Linked DNA regions of Oryzias latipes. The protein of the gene in region 4 purifies or fractionates together with the protein of the main gene of each other region. This does not show direct contact. Links are inferred from orthologs where the notes say so. Each region holds a gene or a part of one and is shown on either strand. Other genes may lie near its edges.

Region 1 (3,500 bases), on a different chromosome or scaffold from region 4:
CTTCATGATTTAACTACAGAAATACCTCAGAAATGTAATTTTAAGCTTAATTTTCTTTATTTGTGACCGCCATCATGAGAAAAAAAGCCACAAGAACGTGTTAAAACATCAAAAACAGATTTTAAACAGAGTGGGACTTTAAAGACTTCCTGTCTGTTCATTTTTTTTCATGTACATTCAGGTTGACCTGAACCTGTATTTTGTACAACAACAAGAGTGGAGCTGTTTCTGATGTAGAAGACCTCTTAAATGGACTCTTTCATTGTTTATACTGAATAACTGCACTCAGGCTGGATAAAAAAATAATTTAACTAGTAGATAAAAGGTTTTGACAAAGACTAAAGAAACCTACATTTTGTCATAAATCCAACTTCCTCCCAATATCCACACCTGTCTTATTCTGACTTACCCAGAACCAGGTTGTCTCTGCGCATTTCCCAGGCCAGGTCATAGGGCAGGTGGATGGGATCCACATAGATGTACTCGTGGCCATCCTGACTCACAGATTCAATGACTTTCCATCTGATTTCATAGCGAGGTTTCTGAGGAACATCAAGGAAAAGAATATCATCAAGTTCAATGTTTTTTCTAGTATTGTCTTTAAATTCACTTTTATTTCCACAAAGGTGTTTTCTTACCTTCCTCCATACAGCAATGAGGATGATGATGGACATAATAATGATGACCACTAATGCCAAAACAGCAGCTAATACAGTCACCTGGGAGAAGAGTGCTGCAAAGGACATGGACATGGCATTTTAGGAGAAAACAATAAACCAATATGATTCAAACTCTGCAGACATGAGGCTAAACATTTGTTTTAATACTACTTTACTGAGTTAAAGAAAATAGTAGTAAATAAATGTTTGTGATAGTACACGGTAGTTTGTACCAAATTCTACAAACAATAACTTAATATTAGCATGTCTTCTATTTAACATCAAATGACGCAATAAATTATTTAGCTTTTTTTTTGTAAAGACAACTACAGAATAACATTTTATGGACAACATTTTAACAATAACAGACTATCAAAATTGCGTTGAGGTCTCACTGTAATGAAAAATACACCATTCTGAGTGGTTGTCAGAACACCTACTGCTAGACACCAGTTTGATGTCTCTCCGGTCGGTGAGTCCGGCTTGGTTGGTGGTCTCACAGCGAACTGTGACCTGCTGGGGCTTGAGGAAGGTCACTTGGCTGCGCACTCGACTCAGTTTTCGTGCCTGGCTGTAGCTCACATTGGTCTGGATGCTCAGCTCCTCTGAATGTGGGACCAGCGGCTGCCATGCTGATGTTTGGTTACTACACCTGCAGCAGAACACTGGATCAGCACTCAAATCACAACATCTGCAGCAGAGGAGAGCAAAGCTAAAGCTGATGCTCTGAATGTTGAATAAATGTGTGTGTTTAGTCAGCCCTCTAGTGTTGACACTGCAGCATCTCAGGAAGGAGGGGTGGCACTCACTTCAGCATGCTGTCACAGCTGTACCACTGTATGGTCGGAGTTGGGACCCCCTCTGCGGTGCAGGTCACCAAGTGTCTGTTCGCTGGCAGGTGGTGATCAGACAGATCTTTAATCTGAGAGGGAACTAAGACACACCAAGAAAAGTAGAATTAGATAAGCATTGCAGTAGTCAATAAAGGATAGTGAAGTAGACTAGACCCAGGAAATACATTTATACAAATTGTTTTTGCCAACTTTAAATCAGTTCATTTGTAAAGTGACAATTATCAATGGCGGCCTAAAGGGGCCAAATTACAATATATAAAAAAAGGGAAAAGAAAATATCTTGAGTTATCTTTGCTTGTTATAGTCCTAACATGTTTGAATCAGCCCAAATCAGACAAAATTGTTACAACTGGACTTTAGTTTTTATGTTTTAATCTAATATTTCACAACTGAAAAAATTACTAAAAAAAAAAAAAACAAGACAGATGGTTTTTGGACAAGTCTACCTACCATGTACTTCCAGGTCAAAGGCCACTTCCTTTGAGTCATCCCCATTTCTAATGAGGACAGTGTAGAGTCCTTTCTGCTCCATCCTCACCCTCACCAACGTGAGAATGGTGACGTACCTGATGCACAAGAGAATGAAACAGAATCTTAATTATTTTTACCTCCTTCTGATTACATGTAATTGAGCAACAAACATCTTAATAACATGAATTCTCTTTTTCTTAATCTTGTGTTGAAAATCTTGTCTTTTTAACTTTAAAAAAGTCAAATGAAGTTCTGATGGTGTAAATATGTGGTTAATAATTGAAAAGAATGCCAGATCTGTTACTCTGACAAAATCCAATAAGGTTCACTATGATGTTGGGCCATTTACTTGCTGTTTTGAATCTGTCTACTGAGGCCTGTGTTTGATGTTTCAGTTAGATCATTAGTTTTTTAACCTTTATTTTAAAAGTCTTTTCTTGTTTGGCATTTGTCTAGAAGTCCTTTGAGAGTTGTGACAGGCGTTTTGTGTTTATGGTTCATGTGCGTTGAAAGATGGAGTCCGGCCCTATGGAGGGAATTGTGTTTCTCTCTGTGGAGGCTTTGCATGGTGCTGACTGACATAAGCTGCACGCATCTACTGACTGAAAGACTCACAGGTCCTGTGCTAATTGCTTAAACAGAAACAACTCAAAGTGTTGGTCTGTGGATTTGTGGTGAATTTTTGAAACAGCTGATCATTCAAGCTGGACGATCTACCTGATCTCATTCACTTGTCTAATGGTGATGCTTTTGTCTCCTTTGATGGTGGCGCCATCTTTGGCCCACAGAATCTGAGGAGGCGGGTAGGCAGTGATTTCCACTCGCAGTTCGACATTCTCCTGTACTTTGGTGGAAATGTTTTTTGACTGAGCTGGCTTCACATCCACAAAACCTTTTTCTGGTAAGAGAAAAAAAATCTCATCAGCAACACAGCATATTTAGTGCAATCACACGTTAAAACTCACAATAAGAGTATGCATGAGACTTTCTTTGGCTTCTTAGGAGACAATGAATCCACTCTACTCGACCTGAAGTAACAAAAATATATTCATTTAAATTCTTTTGTCTGACCGAATTATGCATATTAAAGGAACTAGCAAAACATTTAGGCCCAGTTGTTTTAACCAGACAAATATTTGAGTTTGGTCTAATGTTTCTGAAGGCGTATATTTTTGAAACTTCATAAACAGACAGAGAAACTACAACATGTTTTGAAATAGTTCAATAAAGTTCATAACGTCTGTATCGATAACTAACATCTTAGGTTCTTCTTTTATCAGACACGGTTGTGTTTTTTTCACAAACCTCTAAGATGTCATATTTGGAAATAATTCAACAGCTTGGCAAATTTAGGGGACCTTCACACATCAATTTGCCATACATTTCTATTTGCTTTCATTTGTCAAACCAAAACTTGCAAGTCAAACAAAAAGTTTTCATCCTGGACAATTTTTATTGTTTGAAAAGTATTTTTGTGGCACTTTTTGTCCAGACAGCTTCCCCACTAAAAACGATT
Region 2 (4,079 bases), on a different chromosome or scaffold from region 4:
GGTGGTGGCATGATGTGGGAGGACACTTGGAATGAGGCACCCTGTTTTGAGGAGGGTGGAGCCTGCGGAGGGGGTGGGGGTAGGCCCCCTCGGCTTGATGGAGGCGGAGGTGGCAGGCCCCCACGTGGTGGAGGTGGATTTGGAGTCGGGCTCCCCCGCTGGGATTGACCTGGGAGCGGTGGTAGAGGGCCGGAGCGACCTCGAGGGGGCGGAGGGGCTGGAGCGGAAGACCCAGAGCCGGGCAGAGGAGGCAGGGCTCCCTGTCTGCCATGTGGAGGTGGTGGAGGTGCAGCAGCTGGTAGAACATGTGAGTTATGCATTTAGCAGAGGCTCTGAAAATGATCAAACGATCAAACATATGCATCCAACCTGCTCTGTTTGCCTCCTGTTGGACAGCTTCAATTCCCCCGGACTGCTCAATGACATTATAGATGAGCTGGGAGGTCTTCTCGTCCTTGAGGTCAGCTTCACTAATGCCCGCCTGGGAGAACAGCTTCAGCAGATTAGGGTCAATGTTATTGGGGTCCCATCCAACATGCGACACATGCCTGGCAGAGAGGAGAGCAGGAATAAACAGACAGCAACACATGAGTACCTCTAAAGACTCCATTTCTTACGTAAACCCGCTGGGAGCTCCTATGTCTGCCTTGGACAGTTTAGGACCTTTTTTCTTGCTTTTCTTGCTTTTCTTATTATTAATAACTACAGCTGTAGCAGCAGGGGGTGGAGGCATGGTGCGATAACGTGAAGACTGGATGTCTGGGTTTTGGATGTCCACTGTTGCCATGTGAAAGGAACCGTGGTTACCAGCTGCTGCTTTTTAGAAAGAAATTCCAATTAAGACACTATCATATATTTATTTAATTTGAAAAAAAAATATTGAAACCACAATTTGAAATTGAATTTGAAAAAAGACACCTTTGTCAGGAGGAACTGGAGGCAAGGAACCTCGATCTACAACAAAACAGAGGAGAAAAAATGATATTCTGAAATGCAGGAGGAATTTATCCAAAAATAGTGTAAAAAATGTGTATTTACCAGGCGTCGGTAGGGGGCGCTGTTTCTTATCTGTCAACAGGAAAAAAAATTCAGGCCACCAAAAACACTTGAATGAGTGCAAACTGTTTCTTTCAGTATTTTAACAACAAAAAATCTTACCATATAACTTAAAAACACAGAATTTGTAAATATTCAAACATGCATTTACTTTATTTGCCACTTTCCTCTGAGCCCCGGATAAAAACAGAAGTTCAGTTCATCGGAAATGCAAATCAGGCACAAACTTGTCGCGTTCATGATTCTATCTGATAATCCCCACAGAAGAGATGCTGACCTTGACGGTTGTTTCTTTGACTGATTTTCTCCACAACGGCATTTTGGAAAATTTCTGCTTCGCCTTCATCTGAGAAGTTCAGCCCCACTTGACAATCCTTCAATGAGTTTACACAAGCCGATGCATTAAACCACCCCACAAGGTAGAAGATTATGATTTAAGAAGGGCAGATCAACGAGCACTTACATCTGCAGTGAAGGTGTGAAAAAACGTCCGTGGAGTGGAGTAAATGATTTGGTTGTACAGCTCCTGCTCCCAAACCATTTTCTCTGTCTGAGGGAGCAAATGATGGATGTGTCAGTTAGTGACCCTAGTGCTCAGCAGGCCTTGAAAAGGGGAACCTGGTTATCACGACTGGATCTTCAGAGCACAGTGAGCCTCTGACTGACCTTCATGTCAAACATTCGGATGAAGTAGGAGCGCTGAGGGTTGTCTTTGACAAAGCAAACCACCCCGGTGTGCTGCATACTCCACATGGTTGGACTGTGAGGGAGAGCCATGAACAGCTGAGCCACTGCAGTGGCCATGGACTAAACACACAAATAAGGGACCGATTAAAAACTGTTCACAGCCGATAAGACTCCCAAGAGCATTTCATTGCAGTCCTCATGTAAATTTCCAGTTGCGTGACGATTATCTTCCTCCTCATCGTTAGTTAGGTTCAATGGCATTCTTTATTTTCCACTGCAAACGATGAAACACTTTACATTGAGAGCATGTTCAAATGTTAAGCTTTCATTGAGAATATTTACTTTTGCAGCTAACAAACACAAAGCAACATCTTCCACACTGTGAGACTCAACCCAACATGGTTTCTAATTCTGACGGCAGGGGAAGAATCGTTTTAGCTACCATTTCCTGTAAGGGCCACCCTCTTTTTCACAACTCAATGCTAGAATATAATTCAAACAAAAAAAGGAATTTTATTTTAGAGAAATATACATGTACTCTTGCTAGTGTTTACTTTTTTTTCCGAGGAATTATCTAAAATAAAAGAAAAGATCAGTGGAGGTAAAATTAAAAAAAGTATTCTCAAAAGCCTCAGTGCTGAGCTGCAACTATGCTCTTAAATTTAGGATGTGATGTTTAATCATCCTTGAAATAGCAGATAGAAGTGATATGGACATTTTTTGAGTGTCAGCTATAAAAGGTCTTAGGCCTTAACCCCTCATTTTCACAGATGAGACAGAGTGTATTAGGTCATTTCAGAACTTACTGAACATCTTCTTCCCAGCAGCTCCTCCAGCTTCTCATTCTCTTGTTGGCTCAACAGAGAGCTTCGGTTGCTCTCAGTCTTACTTTTAGATCCACGGCTCATGATGCCTCTTAAAAAAGATCCACTTTATCTGAAATCTGCATGTATCTTGTTTAAAAAAAAGCAGCCCTGCAGTCGCTAAGAGAATGGCCTCTTCGGTTAACTTTGCAATCAAGGAAGTTTCTCTTCTCTGTTTTGAACGCAGCTCAAAGCAGGAAATGAACAACCGCACTTCTCTAACCCCCACTTTTCTTCTTCGCTTGGGCATAAATGAACGTGCTATACTTCCATTTTCATAGAGGCGGCGAAATGTTGCTCTTCCACTGATGTGCATATTCAAATTTAATAAAGCAAACACACATTCTGGGTGCATTTAATATCAGAAGGAGAAAACACCAGCGACAAAACACAGATGTACAAATGACACTTATTTTATTGACAGATAACAACATTCACATTAATTTAAAAATGCACATCCTGCATAAAACAGTTAAAAGATACCATTTGACGGACAAAACAAAACTTCCTTTATTGTACATAAAATTGAAAAAGGGCAGTTCCTCAACATTTTCCAGGACTGCAAAATCTGTCTAATACTGGATTTATGTCAATCTTGAGTTTAACTGGCTTTGTCAAGCATTTTAATAAAAAATACATTTTATTTTTGTAAAGTGACAAAATTCCTTTTTTTTGGCTTGACGCTTGTAAGTAACAAAAAGAATCCCTGTTTAAACTCACTGTATGTGTGTTTATGATGGTCAGTAACTGTTGACTTTGAAGAAATGGCAGTAAAGCCCCAACAACTGTGGGACTTTAAGTTCGATGATAATTATGGTTTTTACGTCAGTCGGATAAAGTACCCATTAAAAATACTAAATAAATATTTTCTCTTTTGATTGATTAAAATCAATTTTGTTCCCAAGTGCTTTTAAGCTGATCAAGTAAGGTCCGATAAAGCTCTCAAACCAAAGGAAAATGGAAAAGGATCAGGTTTTGTGTTGTTTAACAAGAAGCAAAAGCAGTTGCATATACTGACTGTATTCAGATGGGTGTCCTGTAAAAACTGGAATAGCAGGGAAGTGCAATATAGGGATTACTGTGACTGAACTATTCCAAGAAACAGAACACATCAGCATTCTATAAATGGCATTTCCATTGCTGTCATGTTGTTCCCATTCATCCTTTTGCTGCCATTTTACTAGTGACTTCAACAGCACGGCGGTTCTGAGTTGTGGCAGGTTGTGCAGCACACGTTATTTTGAACGCTGCCTTTCGGCCTCCACTACATAACTTGATGTTGGTGGAGGTTTTCACTTTTTTTATTTTTTCAAAACCTTTTAGTTTGAGTTTGGACGGAAACTCAACAGAAGTGTTTCAGGTACACAGGACGAGCTTTGGTTGGCATTCTGACTGTAGTACCTCCGCTCTGTCATGACCAGTGTACAGCTAGTGTCCACCTTTTATCGGCTGTCCCGTCACCCAGTCAAAGAT
Region 3 (3,500 bases), on a different chromosome or scaffold from region 4:
ACTGTAGGTCCATGCTCTACCAACGAGTAGTCCCGTACGAACACTACATGTGTTCAAAAACCCACGTTCAGCCCACTGGAAGCTCCGCCTCTCTGTGTTTGATGTCTGCATGATTCTCCGCCTCTCTCCTCCTCCCAGACGGTCCGGTTGTTGGTTCCCTCGGCAGATCCGCCCTCAAGCCGCCGGGATCCCGGCCTGCTGCTCCTCGCCCCCCCACGGGTCGCTCCAGCTCCCCCACCCCGCCCAACAGGCCCTCTTCGTCGGAGCCCCAGCGGTCGCACCGCCCCTCCCTGCCAGACATCTCCCACTCCCACAACAGCAGCTCCTCCGGCGGGATGAAGCACAGCACATCTGCCCCGCCGCCCCCTCCCCCCTTCAACAGAGGAAACCGCGGCAACGCTCCGCAAGCGCCTGCTTCAAGAGAGAAACCCCTCCCACCAACGCCGCAAAGAGCTCCCGCGCCGTCAAGTACGGCGAGGCCCCCGTCGTCCTCGAGCAGACCGCAGCCCAGCGGCTCTCACGCTCCTCCCCCTCCTCCCCCTTACAGACCTCACCTGTCAGGTGGGGTCTCCAACGGGCCCTCCGACGTGGATGGAGGGGGGGCCCCTGAGCTCCCGCGGAGACACAACTCGCTGCGTAAGAAGCACTCATCAGGGGGGCGGAGTCAAGCCCCACCGCCCCCTCCTTCTCCATCCTCCCAGCAGGGCAGCCGGCCACCGCCGCCCGCCAGAGAACCACCTGGACGCAGAGCAGGTATGAACGTGGTCTCACACACGCACACACACACACACACACACACACACGCACACAGATGCTACAGCTGGCAGTCGAGCGGTTTCTGACGTCTGGATTTTTGAAGAGATCAACAGTTTTCTTACATTTAGCTGCATATATAGCATCTTCATCACATGACCCCCCCCCCACACACACACACACACATCCAGACAACAACCATCTGATTTCCTCTGTTATTCACATTTGTCGAGGGACTCTTTGCCTCCAGGTTGTCGTAGAAACGCGGCCTCAGTTCCATCCGGCGTGGAAACGTTTGTAACTCCAAACTCGCCAAACTGGAACTGACGTGTTGCCTGCGTGTAATGGGCCAACAAACGATTCTCCAGGTTCCTCTGCATTCCTGAAGTTTTCTGGAATATTCCAGCTTTCCTCTTCTCTCATTCTGCCTCCAGCTGACATCAAACTGCAGCTGCTGATCAGCTGGTTTTGTAAAATCAAAGTTTGAACCCTGGAAACGGTTCAGTTTAGTGGATTTATTTGTTTGTTTTTCCTGATCTCTGGAAACAGGATTAGGTTATGAGTCACAACCATTGACTGTATCAGAGAGCTGGACTGAGTGTGACGTCATCCATAGAAAATTGTTTACTTTCTCCTCAAACCAAATTAAGTCAATTCAGTCACCATGTTTGAGTCTGATGACATCAGTAAGCAGTGATTGGTCCGAGCCGGTCTGAGTTTCTATGGTGACCACTGTTACCAGCTTGCTGGAAGGCCACGCCCCTTCTACTTGATGGCAGACTACAGAAAATCTGTCAGTCGCTTTGAAAGTTCCGCCTACGTTTACTGGAGCATCTGATTGGCCAGTTTATGATTTAAATAACTTGAACTACAGAAAAGAATCACGAAAAAGGGGAATAATAGAGATGATTTTAAAGGGGTCAGACCCTGAATGGTTCTTCTGACCAACAAAACCGAGTAACAGCTGTTTGGTTCTCAATAGACGTCTACGAGATTTTAGCGGCTACTTCCTGTTTGGAACGCCAGGGGGGCGGGGCCACCCAGTCCAGTTCTCACACACAGTCAGACTGACTTGATCTGTATTGACATCACTTTTATGTCTAACAGACCCCCTAAGATTGAATAAATCCCAAAAGACGTTTTCTAATTCAGATTAAAGTATTTTTCTTCTGTTGACAGACGTCGTGTCATCTGCCACTTCTCAGTGTTAAATTGGGACGTTGCTTTTTATTACCAGAACATTAATTATCCGTTTCTAGAATGATCCCTTTTTTATTTTTATTAAGAATTTACAGCAGAAAAATTCTGAATTACAATTATTATTTCCTTTTGATAAATAAAATACTTTTTAAGTCAAAGAAACAAAATCTGCCAGCAGCACCAATTTATACACGAATACAACAGTAAATATGTGACAACAATTATTAAAATATAAACCCCCCAAGGATTAAACTGACTCTACCAAACTGTCAGTATCCTTCCAAACCCAGATACTTAAGCTCCTCCCCCTTGGCGTTTTCAAAGAAAGTAAAATACAATGACATAAATTCGTCCAGAATGAATCAGCTATGAATAAGTGATTGATGTGTCTTTAGTTTCATCAGGTCTCTGGTCCTGATGGAGGCTGTTCCACTGGGGAGGAGCTTACACCTCCTTTTTAAAAAAGCATTGGTCGCAGCTCCTGTCCCAGAAAACCAAAGCGAGCCTTTCAGCGGTCCGGTTCCCCTCTCAGAGAAAGTGTTCTTCCACTCTTCAGATTCTAATCCTGAACTTTTTTCTTTTTTCCTGGTCACAGTCCCCCCGGCCCCCCCTCCCAGCTCTCGGAACGGCGGTCGTGATGCCCCTCCTCCCCCGCCTCCGTATCGTGGCCACAGCTCTGGAGGCTCAGAGCCCCAGATCCGGGTGGGGAAGCCTCCTCCCCCCGTCTCCTCCTCAGCTCCACCATCTACCAGAACGCCAGCGGGGCCGCCCCCTCCTCCTCCACCCATCCGCAACGGTCACTCCAGCTCCTCCTCTTCTAGACCAAACACAGGTGAGTCCCGCCTCCATCCCTCCGTCCACGTGGCGTTGGGGACACGGAAAGCAGGAATGGATTCTTCCGTTTTTCCCACGACTTCATCAAAGGCGAATCTGTGTGAAAATGGCTGCTGCTGTTCTTCAGTGGAACTAGTTTGTTTAGGATTTTTCTGTGATGCAGGCGGCTGTTCAAAGATAAGCAAACCACCTCCTGCTCGTATGCAAAACGGCGCTTTGTTTCCTGATTACCAGGAACGCTCTTCCACGAGTCTCCAGGCCGACACGCCATGAAGCTCAGGAGATGAACCGCCACCGAGTCGTTTTGACCCTGAGACTGAAATGTCAACAAATTCCCCCTAAACGAACAAACAAAATCTGAATTTTTTATCTCAGTAGACAAAAATATTGATTTGTTCACTCATTAACATTATTGCATCTCTTGAAGACTATTTACAGTAAAAAAAACAGAAACAAATAGTTTCTGAAATGAGGACAAAGTTAAACCAAAGAAAATTGATTTGAAACCAAAGACTCAGTGTTGGATTTTAGCCGTAAGCTGAGCTGCTGCGTTTCTGAAACTGGACTTTTGCGTAGAAACCTTCATTTCTTTGCATGTCTCTGCTTCAACTGGCTGAACGTTTCAGTTTTCAGGCAGACGAATCTCTGCTTAGCATCGGCAGAAGCCGGTCTCATTTCCACGTTACCCCGGCGTTTGTTTCCGTCTTGTGTTG
Region 4 (3,500 bases):
TCCATCCTCTGCGTTTGACGTGAACAGATACTATCTACCAAACTGTAAAAAGGGAGCGTCAGCCGGCAGCTCTTCCCACCAAAAAGCAAGTTCTTACAATTAACACAAGCGCAGCAGATGCATTTGCCTCCAGTGACAAGCTCTTATCATCCCATCATCGGCCTGTAGTTGGACAGGGAAATCTAACTTTCCGTTCTGGCGCTACTGCAGATTGAGAATCTAGTCAAATGCTGCGGCTTTGCTTTTTTAATGCAAAGTGTTTGGGTGACTTCAGCAGGAAGCAGCCAATCACAGACACCTGATCATAGATGGAAAAAAGTCACGTTCTTCCCACTCTGTTGGAGCTAAAACCAATTTAAAAAAATCATTTTCAACCTAATCAAATGGAAGTCATCCATTTGTTTTAATATCTTATTTTCCTTTAACGTAAAAGAAAAAAGCATCTGCTGTCTCTTTGAGTCACAGAGATGCTTAACTAGCATTTGCGCTACACATAACCCCCAGACACCAGCTCTTAACACCCAGCCTGCAGCCTGTAGTTAGGGACCGTGGTGGGACTAATGACAGGGGTCTACCTGGAAGCAATTTGACGTTGGACTCTCGGCGCTACCATGAAATTTGTCTGCTCTCCTTGAGTCAGAGGCACCTTTCAGCACCAGTCTATCTGTGGTTCCCCGCTCGCATAAGAATCACCATCCCTCCCCGCGCTGCCCTGGAGACTCCACCCTAACTCACTGTATAATTTCAACCAGCTGTCTTTTGATTATGCAAGCAATGGCCTTGCAAACGTCATCGAAAAAAAGAAAACAAAAAAAAAAGGTCTCATTTGAAATCGCTGCACCGTATCAGCGTTTGGCTCCTCGCGGCCTCAGCCTGGTTGGAAGATCATGGGCTGTAATGGCAGCAGCAGCTTAATGGGAGACGCCGCAGACTGTGATGTTACGGCTTCTATTTGGTCCCATGAGCGCCAGGCAGAGGGCATGATCTCAGCATTGCGTCTTCTGCCGGTTACACTTGTTTTGCGCAAGTCCTAACCTGCCAGGTGGAAATTTTCTCCAACACCAGCACCCGGATCTAAGGGCATTGTTGTCCTCTCGTTTTTGAAGTCACGGAGGGCTGGGTCGAGAAGTTGGCAGGACGAAAAGGTCAAACTTGACCTTTTGTCTGTGGTTATTCCTGGTGGTCGGGAATGTCGGGGAACAATCGCTGCGAGTTTTCTGATAAAACCCGTTCTCATTCCACACTGAAATCCAAACCCTTAACTGGCTGATTAGCAAAAGAGGAGTGCAGACAAGAAATCTTGTAGCAAAAAGCATAATAGAGCTTCAACAGCAAGGATGTGAGTAAGAGGCCGCAGGTGCTGGAGCAGCGCAGGCGATTATGGGATGCCAGGATGCAGGCAGGAACTATTACTAAACCTTTTTTGTACAAAGCAGTTTTCCCCTCAGAAATCCCAGAGCTTAAATATTACTATGTTCATTTTTCCACTTCCACAGGTTCAGGCCAAAACACGTCTCCATCCCACTCACTTTCTAAAAAAAAACTTTGCTTTTTAACACCAGCATAATGTTTTTTTTTGTTTCCCCAGCACCCAACCTAATCCCCAAGAATGTATTTGGATTTAGAGTGTGGGGGGGCTTTCAGGCACTGCCATGTGGAAAGGAATGATATTTAACCCTGCTTCCCCACCCTCCCTGTGTTTGAGCACAGCTCCAAATACTGATTAGCTGCTGGTATTTGTCTGGGATTTGGTTTTCCTGGTTGGGTCTGCAGTGATGTACAATAGTCGGTGTGTTTGCCGTTGAGCCTCTTCGTGCACCAATAGAAGGCTCGGGTCCTGGTTGAAGTAGTTTAGTCGATAAATCGTGTCTTCTTTTTGTGAATCTTCTTCTAATTTCCCTGCAGGCATCGGAAAGGTGAAGAGTAAAAAAGGAGGAATGAGAGACTCAGCGTCCAACGCCGAGACCGACCCCAGCATGGACAATGGCGAGCGTCTGTACGACCTCAACGTGCCCGCTCTGGTCAAGTTCAGCTACACGGCGGAGCGCGAAGACGAGCTCTCGCTGGTGAAGGGCACGCGGGTGGTGGTGATGGAGAAGTGCAGCGACGGCTGGTGGCGAGGAAGCTACAGCGGACGGTCCGGTTGGTTTCCGTCCAACTACGTGACCGAAGACGTGGACGGGACGGCGGGAGGAGGGGTCATGGGGGGATTCGGCGACCCCGCCGCATCGCTGACGGAGAAGCTTGCGGCCGTGGTGAGCAGCACGGCCAACGGGAACAGGGTGCTGCACACGGTGCAGGCGCTCTACCCTTTCAACTCTGGTAACGACGAGGAACTGAACTTTGAAAAAGGGGAGGTGATGGAGGTCGTGGAGAAACCGGAGAACGACCCGGAGTGGTGGAAGTGCCGGAAAGCAGACGGACAGCTGGGCTTGGTGCCTAAGAACTACGTCACCGTGCTGGACTCCAGCTCCCATAAATCCACGGGGCTCGCCGGGCCTCCCACACCAGACTGCGACTACATCTCTCCGTCGGTGAGCGGGCGATTCGCGGGGAAAGAGTGGTACTACGGAAAGGTGACGCGCCACCAGGCGGAGGTGGCCCTGAACCAGAGAGGCATCGAGGGAGACTTCCTCATCCGAGACAGCGAGTCGTCGGTCAGTCGCCAGGTCTTCATCCAACCTCCGTCTGGTCTGTAGCTGCTGTGAAATGCTCCTCCTAACCTCCGTCTCCTTCTCGTTTCAGCCAAACGACTTCTCCATCTCCTTGAAGGCCCAGAGCAAGAACAAGCATTTCAAAGTGCAGCTGAAGGACAACCTTTACTGCATTGGACAGCGCAAATTCAACTCTATGGAAGAGCTTGTCGAACACTACAAAAAAGCCCCCATCTTCACCAGTGAGCAGGGAGACAAACTGTACCTGATCAAGGCCATGGCTGCCTCCTGATCACGCCTCTCCCACACAAACTCACACTCCTACGTATGAATCAAAAGCGTAGATAATGCAGATACTTCCAGCAGACCGCACGCTAACATTTCAGCCCTCCCACTTCAGACTGAACACGTCAGGAGGACTCAAGCAGCCGCTTTGTGAGCATTCCAAGAGGACATGTGGGAGGAGCGCAGGAGAGACAACAAAGACTACAAATCCCTGAGAAAGGGTCGCCTATTTTAAATTATCCAGATGTTTCATTCTCAAACTTCGTTTCATTTAGGTTTTCTTTTTTTATTATTATTTTTTATTTGTTGATACCATATTATCTTTTAACAGTGTCTTTTAAAAAGGTGATTTTTATTTCATTTCTTAGATTTCAGCACCTCAGAGCCACGCCCACAGCTCTTGTTTCGTCTGTTTTAATGCTTATTTTTTTGTGTGCACACTAAAAAATCCACACCTTCTCGCCAACAAGTGACCAAACTATATTTATTGACATGTTAGGATCCATGTTTTTATTTTTTTTCATTTCTGATGGGCACAGGTTTTCAGCGGGCGCTGTGAAC
Region 5 (3,500 bases), on a different chromosome or scaffold from region 4:
TGTTTGGTAAGGGAGGGGGGCCCCCTCCTGGAGAGTCCTGCCTTGATGGCTGACCTGGGCGGCCCCTCGGAAGATCAGGAGGACTGCTACGGGGAACAGAAGGAGCACCTGGGAGTTTAGGAGGGCCAGAGGGGCTACCGCCTCCACCATAGGAACTGGGGCCGCCAGGGCGAGCCCCTGGGGGGAGAATAGGTCCACGACTGGGTCCTGAATCTGAGAAAAACATGAAAACAGGAAGAAATGAAGATGCATCCTGAGAGACGATCAACATCCAGGATTTGAGTCACTTTTACCATTAGACTCTCTGTTTGCTGCAGACCTCAGTTTTGGCATCCCCCCTGCAAAAAGGCCCCCTAAACCCCCAGGTGACCCCCCACCAAAACCTCCTCCTCCACAGCCTCCGCCTCCTCCTCCTCCTCCTCCTCCGCCTCCACCACCACCTCCTCCTTTGGGTTCTACCAAAGAAGAAAAGATACAGAAACAGTCCGTTTAGTTTTTTCTTTTTACTTTAGGATAATCAGATTTTCTTAATTGATGAGAAAGATCCTCACAGTACGTTCAAGTTACACCTTTACGTTTTAGAACATGTGTTTGTTTAGTGAAACTGAAGGAAGGTTTATTCCTTGTGCTATCCTAGGCACTTTAACATTGGGAGTTGGGTCATCTACTGTAGACCAGTGGTCCCCAACCACCGGGCCGGGCCGCGGGAAATTTTGGCACCGGGACGCACAGAAATAAAAAATAATTTCCATTTTATTGTTTTTTTTCGAAAAAAACGTTTTATTTTGAAAAGTGACCAGATTCTCTCTGTTACATCCGTCACCCTTAACGCACGTCTAAGTCGCGACACAAAACATCACGTGATACACCCCGCTAAAGTTAAACCCAAACAACCAAAATGAGCAAAAAACAAACTTCTTTAGAAAGTTGCTTTGACAAGGGGAAACGGTCCAATGAAGGGACAGAAGAGGAACCTGCACCCGCTAAAAAAGGGAAATCTGCCTTTAACAGGCAGCAGTCCGCGGTGAACAAAAGGTTGGGGACCACTGATCTAGACCCACTAGACAGTGCTCAGAACCTTTTTTCTTCAATGATTTGTGATCTTCACTGGTGTCCATGGATTACATGAAATCTTTCCACCTTTATCCACCTTTGTCATGGTAGGGAGAACACCTCAATGTAAGGGGGGGGGTCATCTAAAATAGCACAAGGGTTAAAAGGTTTAATATGTGTTTGTATTCAGTGATTAGGGTGAGCACATTGTGGATCATGTGTAAAATAGCTGAAGATAATAAGCTAACTATCCTAACAAGCTAACCATAAAATGACATAGAGATACTAAAAACAATTTTTCATTTTTATCTTTGCATTCGTGCAAAGATAAAAATTCATTCAAGTACAAAGATTCATTAACTAGCCAGGCTTGTTTCTGAACTTAGTCTCCTGTTACCTGAACAAAACCAGCTCCTCTAACAGGATTCTTTGTTTTGTCATCGTACTTTTACTTACAAGCACATGAATGCTGGTGAGGTATAATTTACTTTTGCTGTTGTGATAGATCATACTGTGGTTTTAAGTGTAGCATATTTAATTTTATTTGTTTGAAATAAAGCCTTCTTCTCCATGTATTGTGGGATTTTCTGGTTCTACCCAGGAGCAAATAACTTACTCTCAAATACGGGCCCGCTGCGGTCATTTGTTACAGCTTTCTTTAACCGGGCGCCTTTGCATATGTCAGACAGAAGAGCGCCCCTTCCCTGCTGCTCTGAGCGGTTCAGCGCTGGCTTCTCTGTGTTCGCCTGAAATGAGATCCAAACACGTCAAGAAAGAAAAAATGAATGATCAATTTGAATAAAGATGATTTTATCTTATTCCTTTAATTATTTCACCCAGAAATGATATAAGAGATACCTACTCTAAAAGTATGGGTGCATTCTTTGAGAAAGTTCAATCATTTTAAAAGGAAATTCAAAAAGTGGAATAATTGCAAACAGATTAAAATATTTCAAGTCTGTATCTTGTAACCTTTCTGTTAATACCGTACACATAAGTTATACAATTTTGTGTCTTTTAATGAAAACATATGTTTTCAGTAAAGGGCTTCTGATAACTATGTTGATGTTTTTGCACTCTGGACTTGAGTGGAACTCTTCATTCATGGATACTCTGCAGCATGGAGGCCACAAGCCAGTGGAGCTGTGTAGGTCTAATGGAGCTTTAGGTTGCCTTTTATTTTCATAACAGATTTTCTGTCAGGTTCAGGTCAGGTGAGTTTTCCGGCACTAGCACAGTAACATTGTGATTATGGTACCATCTTTTGGTTCCTTTGGCAGAGTGGGCAGGGTACAAGTCCTGCTGGAAAATAAAAATCAGCATCTCCTTAGTTTGCCAGCGGAGGGCAGCATGAACTCGTCCAGTTTCCTGTTGGATGTTTGCTATGACTGTGAACTTCAAGATAACACAGTGAACCAACACTAGCAGATGACCAACCATGACTGATGGAAACTTTTCACTAAACTTCAAGCCACATGAAATCTGTGTCTCTCCACTCCTCTCTCCACTCCTCCACTGAGACTTTATTTTCCGAATGAAATCAAAAACTTGTTTTCTTTTCCTTCTTTAGCCCAGGTAAGACGCTTGTTATGTTTCTGGTTCAGGAGGTGTTTGACGTGAGGAATCCAACATCTGTAACCCATTCTTTGACACACCAACTTCGTCCTCAGTCCATCCTTGAGATGCCCCGCTAAATTCTTGACTAGATTTTGGTCAGCAGTCCTCCCAAAGCTGCAGTACTCTCTGTTGCATGGCAGTTTTTCCTTCCACACAAGTTTTTTGTTGATACGCTTGAATACAGCACTCTGTGAACAACCGGCTTTTGTGGTTTGTCCTCCATGAGAACAAACGTCTTCTGGACGTCTGTCAGGTCAACAGTCTTTCTTGTGATTGCCCACACTGAGACCATCAAAGGCTCAAGAAACCTTTGCAGATGTTTGGAGTATATTAGCTGAATGTGGGAGTTTCCATCAATGAATTGTTTTAAAACACTTTTAATTTTTTCAAAAATAACGACAGTTTGGGTTTTCATTACCTGTCAGCCACAATCATCCAAAAGCTTGACTGACGACTTTGACTTTACGATGTTCAAATATTATCACATGTTCCTTTATTTCGACAGGAGATCAGGTTCATTGACATGATTGATCCGCTAGATGTCTCTGGTAGGCGGACAGGGGTCAAACAGACTTACAAGATTGAAGGTCGGAGGAGGGGGAGGCCCCGGGGGCGGTGGGGGCGGGGGGGCTGGCATGGCTTCGCTTTACTCTATCACCACTGGCTGCCGCACCCTGGAGGAAACACAACAGTGGTTAAAACAAAGCGTGGTTATCGGTATTTATGGTTCTCACTGACTGAGAAGTTCTAAATAACACGAAAGATCAACTAAAAAACAGAAATCTACCAGTTTGTCTCCAGTGATTTACGCTCAGAATAGCAGAAATTCT
Region 6 (4,092 bases), on a different chromosome or scaffold from region 4:
AAACTCCCCATGCAGCATGAAACTGCTAGCAGGATAGCAGCTTCAAACAGCTTCACAATGTATATTAGCTGGGCATGTCATTTATTTTTGGAATACTTCAATGAATGAATAAATGAGTCCAGTCCGATTGAACTGCGGTATCATTGTCCAGGTTGTTGATGGAGGGGAATCTCCATGCGTCTGGCACCATGATCCACATCATTTGGAGACTCACACACCCATGACAGCCACCAGGAATAAAAAATATAAAAAACAGAACAGATTCCCCCCCCATAGGTGCACGTCTTTGCCTCACCTGCTTGCTCGTTTCCAGCTCCTTCTCCAGCTGACGGTGCTTATTGTGCCACACCAGATAGTGGATAGGATACCGACTCTCCTCCGGAGTTTTCTTTGCAGAAATCATCCTCGTATCATAGTTTGCCACGTCCCCGCTCTTCACTTTGGGCTTTGGACGAATACTTTGGTCGTCAATTTGCTCTATTTGATCGATCCTCGCATCCTTCACCCGGCGGTGATGCCCAAAGGCGTGTGTTAGGCTGCCGCGTAAATGAGCCACTCTGCCCCTCCGTTCAGGATAAAGTGCATCCAAACACCCCCCCCCCCCCTCCTCCTCCCCCCTTTGATTGTTTCGGAGAATGAAGCTACACCTTTCTGTCTGTCTGTCTTTCTTCCTCCACCATCCCTTCCTCCACCCAAAAGCTTTTCTGTCTTTCTCCTCTTCCTACTCCAACACATCCACCCTCCTCCTCTTCCTCCTCCCATCGGGTGGTGACTGAGAAAGATGCGCTGACAAGATGCAATGAAATGTGCGCGCAATCAGCCAATCCGCAGTCAGGGATGGGGAGATTAAACCTGAGATTAAACATGTCCCATGAAATAAATAAATAATAATAATATTTGTAATTATTACAACAAATCACGTGATCCCAAACAGCAGCAACAATGCTGGAAAAAAAACAACTACTGGACTTTAACGAATTAGTAGCTGTGACCAAACACATTTTTTAATTGATGTAAAGAAGACATCAAGTAGATATACGAGCAGGAACACATTCAGACTGGAAATACAGAAAAACACAACAGTTAAAAATAAAATTAAAAAAGGTAGAAAATAACATCCGTATTTTTTGTTTGATATTTATTTAGCCTCATATCTAAAAAATTAGCCTTCTCTCGTGAAATTATTGTTTTTTTTTATTTAAATCAAACATAACACACTCTTCCGGTCAACTTTTTGTTGTTTTCTTCCTACTGAATTGTCGTTCGACCCGCCCCGGTTCTCGGTAGGTGGGCTGCGGGGCTGAAGGGTGTGTGCGCGCGCGCAGACTGGCAGGTAGAGAGCCGCCGTCTCTCGGCGACTTGATGGCAACGCAGGGACCGGATTTTAATGAAGCGGTCCCGTGGCACGCGCTGCGTGTGTGCAGATTCATGCACAACTTTAATCTAGATCTGCTCCTCCGGAGGGAACGTGGCCGAGGAGACTATTGAGCGGAGAGACAAAAAAAAAAGAAAAATCAGTCCTCAGCTGGCCGGGAAAGCCGAACACACCACCCGGCTTCCGGGGATTCCGGGGCCGCTGCGGTTGACGGCAGACGTCGGTCGCTCGCTCGCTCAGGGGGGAGAATACCCAACATCGGCGGAGGCATCCACCTCTCGATCTCCGCAGCCTCTTTCGAGATGTCAAGAAAGCTACAAAGGACAGAAGTCTGCGCTGACTGCAGTGCGCCAGGTAGGGAGGAGGGGGGTAAATACGTAGAAATAGACCACTGTGGCGAAACAATACATGGGAACGGCTGTACGGTGGGCTAACGGAGCCGAAGATGCTGTCACTGTCCGCGGGTCTCCAGAGCAGGAAAGCGGCCAGGGCTCCTGAGCCTGGGTTAGGCCCAAAATAAACAGCGAAAAATAGGCGTGTTAAACCACGGAGAGTGCCTTTAGCCACCAGCTGATAAAGTTGATTTCATAGAAGGAACAGCGGTGATTTAGACTTTATGTGCCCCTCCTCTGCGTGCTGAAGTTACCGATGCTCCAAAGCAGGAGCCAGTCTAAGGAAAAAAGCGTTTGTTTTGATTTTCGTGACTGGGACAGACTTCTTAGCGTAGCATGGAGGTTAGCAAGGTACCAAATTATTTGACTTTCGTTCTAGCATTCTGTTTTAACACGATCTAGATGGAGTAAGTTTTAATATGTTGCCTTTGCACAGCTATCACCGTGTTAATATTCCTTTTTTAAAATCTTCTATAAGGTTGAAGTTTTCGTGACCAGGCTAGCTAGGCTAGCGCCGGACGCTAGCTACTCCAGCTAACTTTTGCTACGACAAGTTCCCACCAAGCTAGCTCCGCGCGAGGATTTTTGATGGCTAACGGTCATCTATTATTACACCAAACTCTTTTAAAAAATGTTCTTTTAGTTGATATTTATCTTATCGGCCATTTTAAACTAGACTTATGGACTTGACACTAGTTAAGTAACTCAAAAGTAAGACTAAATTCATCAAACTTAAACTGAATTCATGAAAATAAGTTCATGCTTTAACTTAAGTGTCGTATCTTTCTTTTCAAATTTTTGTTACTCAGAAAGCTGTCATGTTATAAGTTTATTTAGGAAAAAGCAGGATCTTTATTCACGGTATTGGTCAGTGTATAACATGGTTTGACCTTATATTAGCCATGACGTATTGATGTTTTTTTGTATGACACCTTGAAGTTTCAGAATTCAAAGTTATGCTCCCTTTTTTCACAACTCTTATCTCATATTTGTGGGTTTACTGCTTTGAAGATGTTGATATAATGTGACAGATTTGGAATTTTAATGTAACATTTTTTTGCAAAGCTTGCATTCAAATTTGGAATTTTTATTTAGAATGATGTTTTTCAACCATTTCTTTTTTAGCCAAGCTCCAGATTTTCCTTGTCAAAAACCACAAGGAAAACCAGCGCCCAAAAATGTAAAAAAGAGAAACTCTGTAGTCTGTATTGATGTACAGTCCCTCCACGATCTCACATGCGTTTTTTGTAACAATTGAAGCACAAAAAGCTGGAAGTTGCAGCTGTTTTTCCTAAAAGTCGCAATAGGTTTAAATAATTTTCAACGTAACTAGTTATAACTTTACCCAGGTATTTGTTTTTCCCTCCAGTTTAAATTATATGTAACCCAAAAATAAAAAACAAAAGTATAATCTTTTAGAACAGTGATTTAAAAAAATGTCTTTGTTGTCATGAGTGCAACTGTAGTTTTTGAACAAATATAATAATCACAACACGAGTGACACATTTTACACAAAAGAGATCAACATTATATTCATGAACATGCTGAAGGTTTATTTGTTTTGCTTTTGTCTAAATCAAAAATGTAACTTTAACAAAAAAAATTGAATCAATTTTGGGTGAATAAGTTTCTTTTTAGATTAAATTGGTCTGTTGGTCACTTCACCTTAAATCGGTTTCTTTATGTTGTTATTAGTTTTATTTAAACTCAACTTTCAATTTTTCAGAAGTGACTGAAGTCTGAAACAGAATTTGTCCTTCAAAGACATTAGAAAGCAGCTGTTTCCTTTAGAAAGAAGACTTTGACCAAACACTGGAATCTTTGACTCTTAATGATTTTTTTCTTCAGCACAAACCTTGAAGGAGAAATAAACAGTTTTTGTCTGATTTCATCAGGAAGATTTACAAGCTTTTAAAAACAGATGTTTGCATTAGTTGCGCTTCATGGCAGTTAACAGCAGCACAGAAAGAGACGGCGTCTCAATTATCCAATGCATCATGGGAGATGTAGTGAAAAGCGGTGGTGTTGGGTAGATTCAAATCTCCTAGCTTCATTATTTTTTTCACTTTTTACAAGGTCTAACACCGGATCCCACAGGAAGCTACTGTCCAATACGGATCACTAGCCACAGTTCATTTCAATCAATTGTCCGTTCACACCAAACGCGATTCATGCATCAAATTTGCTTCCTCTGCTTCTGTTTTAACTCGCGTCAAAGTCACTGTTGGACGTTTGCCTGAAAGTGTTTTATAAATCTGACGCTCCCACCATGTGTGGGCGGAGCTACTTTCAAAAGTTTTTCTTGCATTCTTTATGAAAAACACT
Region 7 (4,134 bases), on a different chromosome or scaffold from region 4:
GGACATAACATAAGAAAACAGAGATGGTATCATTGAGCATGATCGCACGCTAAAATAGCTTTCATACTCCTTCAAAATACTAATGACAGAAATGGTTTAAATTGCATTTAATTTTGCTCTGCTTTTGTGGCCAAAAGCCCACAAAATCCCTGTTTTTTTTTCCTAATGGAATTTGTTCATTCCATCTTCTTCCTCTTTCCCTTCCCACTCTAACTATCAAGCTTTTTTTTTTAATTTCAAAATCAATCCAAAGGGGCTTTAGTCCTCCACATTAATGAATAATTTGCAATTTTTAATCAGATTGCATCCGGTACATTTGGAGCACAGTTGTAAACTCTTTTTCAGATCATAAAAAAATGATGATTGTAAATCCTAATCACAAGCACAAATGTTTTCATTTTAAAAATCACAAGAAAAAGTGTTTAAATAAGGTTTTAAGTCAACATTTTACTGACAAGCAAGCTTTTAGCTTAAGAACAAAGGTTTTTATGTTATATTCAGCAATAGGTTGTATTGGATAATGTTGTAAAATGCTTTGAAGTAAGCTTCATATTTAATTACATATCTATGACTGAGTTTTAAACATCCCTATACACTTTTGATTTAGGCACAACATTTTCAAAGTGGCATATCATTGATCACACCGTAATGGAAGTTGATGTGAGAGAAAACGCTTTTATTTTCTCAGGGAACTTTGAAACATCTGTGAAATATTAATCCAATAATAATTATATCATATAAGGCCAAACTAAGCACAAACTTGTCATCCAGGTTAATTTATCTGCAGGAAAATGCATTTGCAATTGAATTTGCATTTAAAAAGGTAAATTTAAGGTTAAAAAGTTTGGTAAAATACCTTTGGATCAGATTTTGAAGCTGCATAGATTTGATTTTCTGCTCAGGTTGCATGGATTGTTTTGCCAGCTTTTTAATCAATGACAAAGATGTCAAATCCCCTAAATTTTCTGCCAAAGATTTTGCTGAAGCTAGTGCACGCAAGACAAAGTCTTCTAAAATATAAACTGATTAAAAAACATGAGCCTATTGAATGCAGACATTAATATCTAGAATTTGTGATTGCCAATAGGAAGTGGAAAAAAGCAAATGATTGTCCTTCAGTATTTTTTGTCTCTGAATTTTTACCTTAAAAATGAGTGGGGTTGTGATCTTACCGTGCCAATCAAAAACATTCATCGGCTGATTCACATGGCGCGGTAAGTCCTTCTTTCCCCCCTTAATAAAGGCTGGAAGACTGGGTCTCCTTTGGTCCCCGACAAACTTTCCCGGCTGCTGCCCCATAAGGGCAGGGTGCCAGGCTGCAGCCGGGACTATCCAAGTCGGACGGAGTCGGTTAGAAAGCTTGCTGAGCGGCAATGGCGGGATCTGGAGAAGACAGGAGCCTCTTTCCGGGCTCACACTGTCTTCTCCTGGAGTATTGGTGATGCAGGCCTCCTGCACAAGTCTGTGTTACTCCAGTAGGGTTCAGTTTTTTTATGCATTCAGACGACATATGAGGGACCTAACAGGAATCTGCAGAAACGTAAACAACAGTAATCAGCATTCAAAGTTATCTGATCAAACTTTTTTTAAATAAAGAAATGACAAATAAGCTTGTAAAAAAATGTCTTTTAAGCAATACGCCAACAAACTTTCAATTTTGGGAGTTGTTTTAAGACTATTTCTGTTCTGTAAAAAGTATTAGACCTGACCACATGTTAAATAATAACATGAAATGCATTTTATAATAATCTAGATTAAAAAAATAATTTTAGAGCCTGACCAATCAGATCAAAAGATTAAATTAATTATAATTTAGAATAAGTGTCTTTTTAATGTTAAAACTGCTCAAAAATGTCTTGTTCTGTAGAAGTTGAGAGTTAAATTGAAAGTATTTCCTCAAGTTTGTTAGGTTTAGGGTTCGAACAACTACTTTTCTAAATTGTTTAACGTCAATCACAGCCTCAAAATAATAGTGTTGGGTTAGTCTCGGTTTAGTTACAGCTTCACATAACTAACTACAAATACTGAAAATACATTTGCTTATCAGTACTAAAGAAAAGCGACACCTTATGTTGTTTATCTCGACTATCTTAGTCTTAATCTTTCGAGCACAATAATGTAAACTAGTGTCATACGTGGTTTAATTAACTATAAACAACTTTGTGACAACGACATCTTTGTTTTTGACTCTAATAAAACTGTACAGTTAAAAAATAAAACGTTGATAAGTGTTTAAATGTGAGGTAAACTTACATGAAAACATTGACACTGTTGGTTAGCTCCAGCTAATGTTGACGATAGCCATAAGCTAACCAAACTTCTGCTGGTGGTAAGCAGCGCCAGACCCCTATGCACGCCGGACAGTCAACGGTTGGTTTCTGCTGGTAACCGCAGTCAAGTCCACTTCATTATCTCACCAAAACATGTCCCGTGACCGCAGTTTCACACTCTGTAACCAAAAATCAAAGCACTTGTTGGTGTGTTTCAAACTTCCGCGTCCACTCTTCCCGTTTTGTGGAGCGTCTCCCCCCGCGTCTCTAAAGCCACTTGTAGGCGAAGTTGAGGGAACTCTGAGGGCCAGACGACTCTGTCTCCTAGATTTTCTCCCGAATTCCCAGCCGCCGTGCCCTTTACTAGCGAGCTCTATGCTTGCGTGCTTATTCATCACTTTCACGTGAAAACCTGAGCAGTAAACTTTGGCCGAGTTCCAGTTCTGTCGCTGGAACCGCCATACTTCCATACGTAAGGTGGTTTACAGAAATATGTGGGTGGGGCTACGTGTGACGTCACGAGCTCAGCGTGGGCTAGCACCATGAGGGAAGCGCAAAAAAAAAAAAAAAAAACCATGAGGGAAGCGCACGTTTTTGATATGTTTCTGCTACGTTTGTTACTTGCTGTGGTTGAATAAGTTTGGAATGATGACAATAGTTGTTGATGCTGATCTATTTTATTCCTTGATGTTATGTTTTGTAAATTTAATGTTATGATCAATAAAGTTTGGAAAAAAAATGAGGGAAGCGCACGAGTTTGGATTCTGCTGGAGGAGCAGGAAGGGAAACAGAAGGGGAAAAGCCATCCCAGCAGGGATAAATCGAATTCTTTTTTTAGCTTTCTTCATTTAAAAGAATACAAGGTTGGTTAGAAAAAACATTCAGGAATAACAAAGGTGATTGCACACTTTTATATAAATAAAGTCACTTTTTATTAACCTGTCTTAGAGTAGAACATTTTTTTTAGTTATCAAACAACTATGAGAAAAAAAATTAAATCCTGCATATAAAACTAACAATTAATGAATTTTCAAAAATTAGTACATAAAAAGGGAAATGTAGGCCATGTTCCAACTAATAAATATTTTATGTAGCAAATTGAATTTCATTTTTTTATTGTTTAAAATAAAAAACATTTCTTGAGAGCTAATGATTCAGACTGTTATGAAAAAAAAGTATTTAAGTTAGTAGAAGCATGAAGCACCAAAATGCTGCTAAACATTTAACAATATTTAATTTAACATTTAATGAAGAGTGAAATAATCAGATTTATTTTAAGATCTAACATTAACCCTGAAGACCCATTTTCCTTCAAACGAAAATTATTTTGAATATACAAAAATCCAAGTGGACCAAAGAACACACTTTTGATGATTTTGTTACAATTATGTCCACCATGGGTTCTTATAGGTTAATTGATTCAATGTACTCATTGTTTTTTATCAATACAGACCACGATGAGAACTATACAGAAATGACTGAAATTTTATTTTATACAAAACCATCACAATGTAATGTCACACCGAGCATTTACAAATGTGGACAACATTTTAATTTTCATTCAGGTTATATGCATTATTAATGTTTGATATCAAATAAAGAATGTGATCTCTGAGCACCTCACTTTGATTCATAGAAGACAACTAAACTTAATTTTTGGATAAGTGGATGGTGGCCCCGTTGTTGGATGTGGTTTTAGCATTAGCCTTTTATCCTTCCTGTTCCAGCAGCTTCTGTTGGGTCAACATGACAATCTCTTCCATCACCTCGGGTTTTAAGATGTCCTTGACCTACAGGCAGGGAAAAGGGAAATCTTTAAAACAGGTTGTTATCGTTTTGTAAAAGTCCAGAAACATTTATAGTT

The links.
Region 1: the proteins of nck1 (region 4) and pdgfrb purify together in Homo sapiens (affinity purification with western blotting; 3 studies listed by BioGRID and IntAct, with this or other methods). This does not show direct contact. The link is inferred for Oryzias latipes from reciprocal best matches to the Homo sapiens genes NCK1 and PDGFRB.
Region 2: the proteins of nck1 (region 4) and was purify together in Homo sapiens (affinity purification with western blotting; 4 studies listed by BioGRID and IntAct, with this or other methods). This does not show direct contact. The link is inferred for Oryzias latipes from reciprocal best matches to the Homo sapiens genes NCK1 and WAS.
Region 3: the proteins of nck1 (region 4) and wipf2 purify together in Homo sapiens (co-immunoprecipitation; 3 studies listed by BioGRID and IntAct, with this or other methods). This does not show direct contact. The link is inferred for Oryzias latipes from reciprocal best matches to the Homo sapiens genes NCK1 and WIPF2.
Region 5: the proteins of nck1 (region 4) and wipf1 purify together in Homo sapiens (co-immunoprecipitation; 5 studies listed by BioGRID and IntAct, with this or other methods). This does not show direct contact. The link is inferred for Oryzias latipes from reciprocal best matches to the Homo sapiens genes NCK1 and WIPF1.
Region 6: the proteins of nck1 (region 4) and git1 purify together in Homo sapiens (affinity purification with mass spectrometry; 4 studies listed by BioGRID and IntAct, with this or other methods). This does not show direct contact. The link is inferred for Oryzias latipes from reciprocal best matches to the Homo sapiens genes NCK1 and GIT1.
Region 7: the proteins of nck1 (region 4) and abl1 purify together in Homo sapiens (affinity purification with western blotting; 3 studies listed by BioGRID). This does not show direct contact. The link is inferred for Oryzias latipes from reciprocal best matches to the Homo sapiens genes NCK1 and ABL1.

Annotation. Positions count from the first base shown.
Region 1 is NC_019868.2:16,271,139-16,274,638, reverse strand, and holds part of pdgfrb (platelet-derived growth factor receptor beta), read right to left. Parts: intron 2,883-3,500; coding exon 2,702-2,882; intron 2,080-2,701; coding exon 1,964-2,079; intron 1,593-1,963; coding exon 1,469-1,592; intron 1,312-1,468; coding exon 1,100-1,311; intron 734-1,099; coding exon 639-733; intron 543-638; coding exon 410-542; intron 1-409. UniProt on the Homo sapiens protein: Tyrosine-protein kinase that acts as a cell-surface receptor for homodimeric PDGFB and PDGFD and for heterodimers formed by PDGFA and PDGFB, and plays an essential role in the regulation of embryonic development, cell proliferation, survival, differentiation, chemotaxis and migration.
Region 2 is NC_019865.2:21,090,542-21,094,620, reverse strand, and holds the start of was (wiskott-Aldrich syndrome protein), read right to left. Parts: upstream 2,801-4,079; 5' UTR 2,652-2,800; coding exon 2,550-2,651; intron 1,864-2,549; coding exon 1,723-1,863; intron 1,607-1,722; coding exon 1,520-1,606; intron 1,431-1,519; coding exon 1,334-1,430; intron 1,069-1,333; coding exon 1,039-1,068; intron 955-1,038; coding exon 919-954; intron 817-918; coding exon 618-816; intron 549-617; coding exon 370-548; intron 296-369; coding exon 1-295. Other genes in the region: sodium-coupled neutral amino acid transporter 3-like, read right to left, coding at 4,035-4,079. UniProt on the Homo sapiens protein: Effector protein for Rho-type GTPases that regulates actin filament reorganization via its interaction with the Arp2/3 complex. Important for efficient actin polymerization. Possible regulator of lymphocyte and platelet function.
Region 3 is NC_019859.2:1,935,332-1,938,831, forward strand, and holds part of wipf2 (WAS/WASL-interacting protein family member 2), read left to right. Parts: intron 1-138; coding exon 139-753; intron 754-2,548; coding exon 2,549-2,785; intron 2,786-3,500. UniProt on the Homo sapiens protein: Plays an active role in the formation of cell surface protrusions downstream of activated PDGFB receptors. Plays an important role in actin-microspike formation through cooperation with WASL.
Region 4 is NC_019878.2:18,420,978-18,424,477, forward strand, and holds part of nck1 (cytoplasmic protein NCK1), read left to right. Parts: intron 1-1,905; coding exon 1,906-2,669; intron 2,670-2,745; coding exon 2,746-2,946; 3' UTR 2,947-3,500. UniProt on the Homo sapiens protein: Adapter protein which associates with tyrosine-phosphorylated growth factor receptors, such as KDR and PDGFRB, or their cellular substrates. Maintains low levels of EIF2S1 phosphorylation by promoting its dephosphorylation by PP1.
Region 5 is NC_019873.2:4,931,173-4,934,672, reverse strand, and holds part of wipf1 (WAS/WASL-interacting protein family member 1), read right to left. Parts: intron 3,345-3,500; 5' UTR 3,308-3,344; coding exon 3,248-3,307; intron 1,800-3,247; coding exon 1,670-1,799; intron 456-1,669; coding exon 294-455; intron 214-293; coding exon 1-213. UniProt on the Homo sapiens protein: Plays a role in the reorganization of the actin cytoskeleton. Contributes with NCK1 and GRB2 in the recruitment and activation of WASL.
Region 6 is NC_019871.2:27,419,039-27,423,130, reverse strand, and holds the start of git1 (ARF GTPase-activating protein GIT1), read left to right. Parts: upstream 1-1,292; 5' UTR 1,293-1,677; coding exon 1,678-1,729; intron 1,730-4,092. Other genes in the region: ankrd13b (ankyrin repeat domain-containing protein 13B), read right to left, coding at 296-403. UniProt on the Homo sapiens protein: GTPase-activating protein for ADP ribosylation factor family members, including ARF1.
Region 7 is NC_019870.2:12,824,770-12,828,903, forward strand, and holds the start of abl1 (tyrosine-protein kinase ABL1), read right to left. Parts: upstream 2,801-4,134; 5' UTR 2,254-2,800; intron 1,531-2,253; 5' UTR 1,300-1,530; coding exon 1,173-1,299; intron 1-1,172. Other genes in the region: exosc2 (exosome complex component RRP4), read right to left, coding at 3,980-4,060. UniProt on the Homo sapiens protein: Non-receptor tyrosine-protein kinase that plays a role in many key processes linked to cell growth and survival such as cytoskeleton remodeling in response to extracellular stimuli, cell motility and adhesion, receptor endocytosis, autophagy, DNA damage response and apoptosis.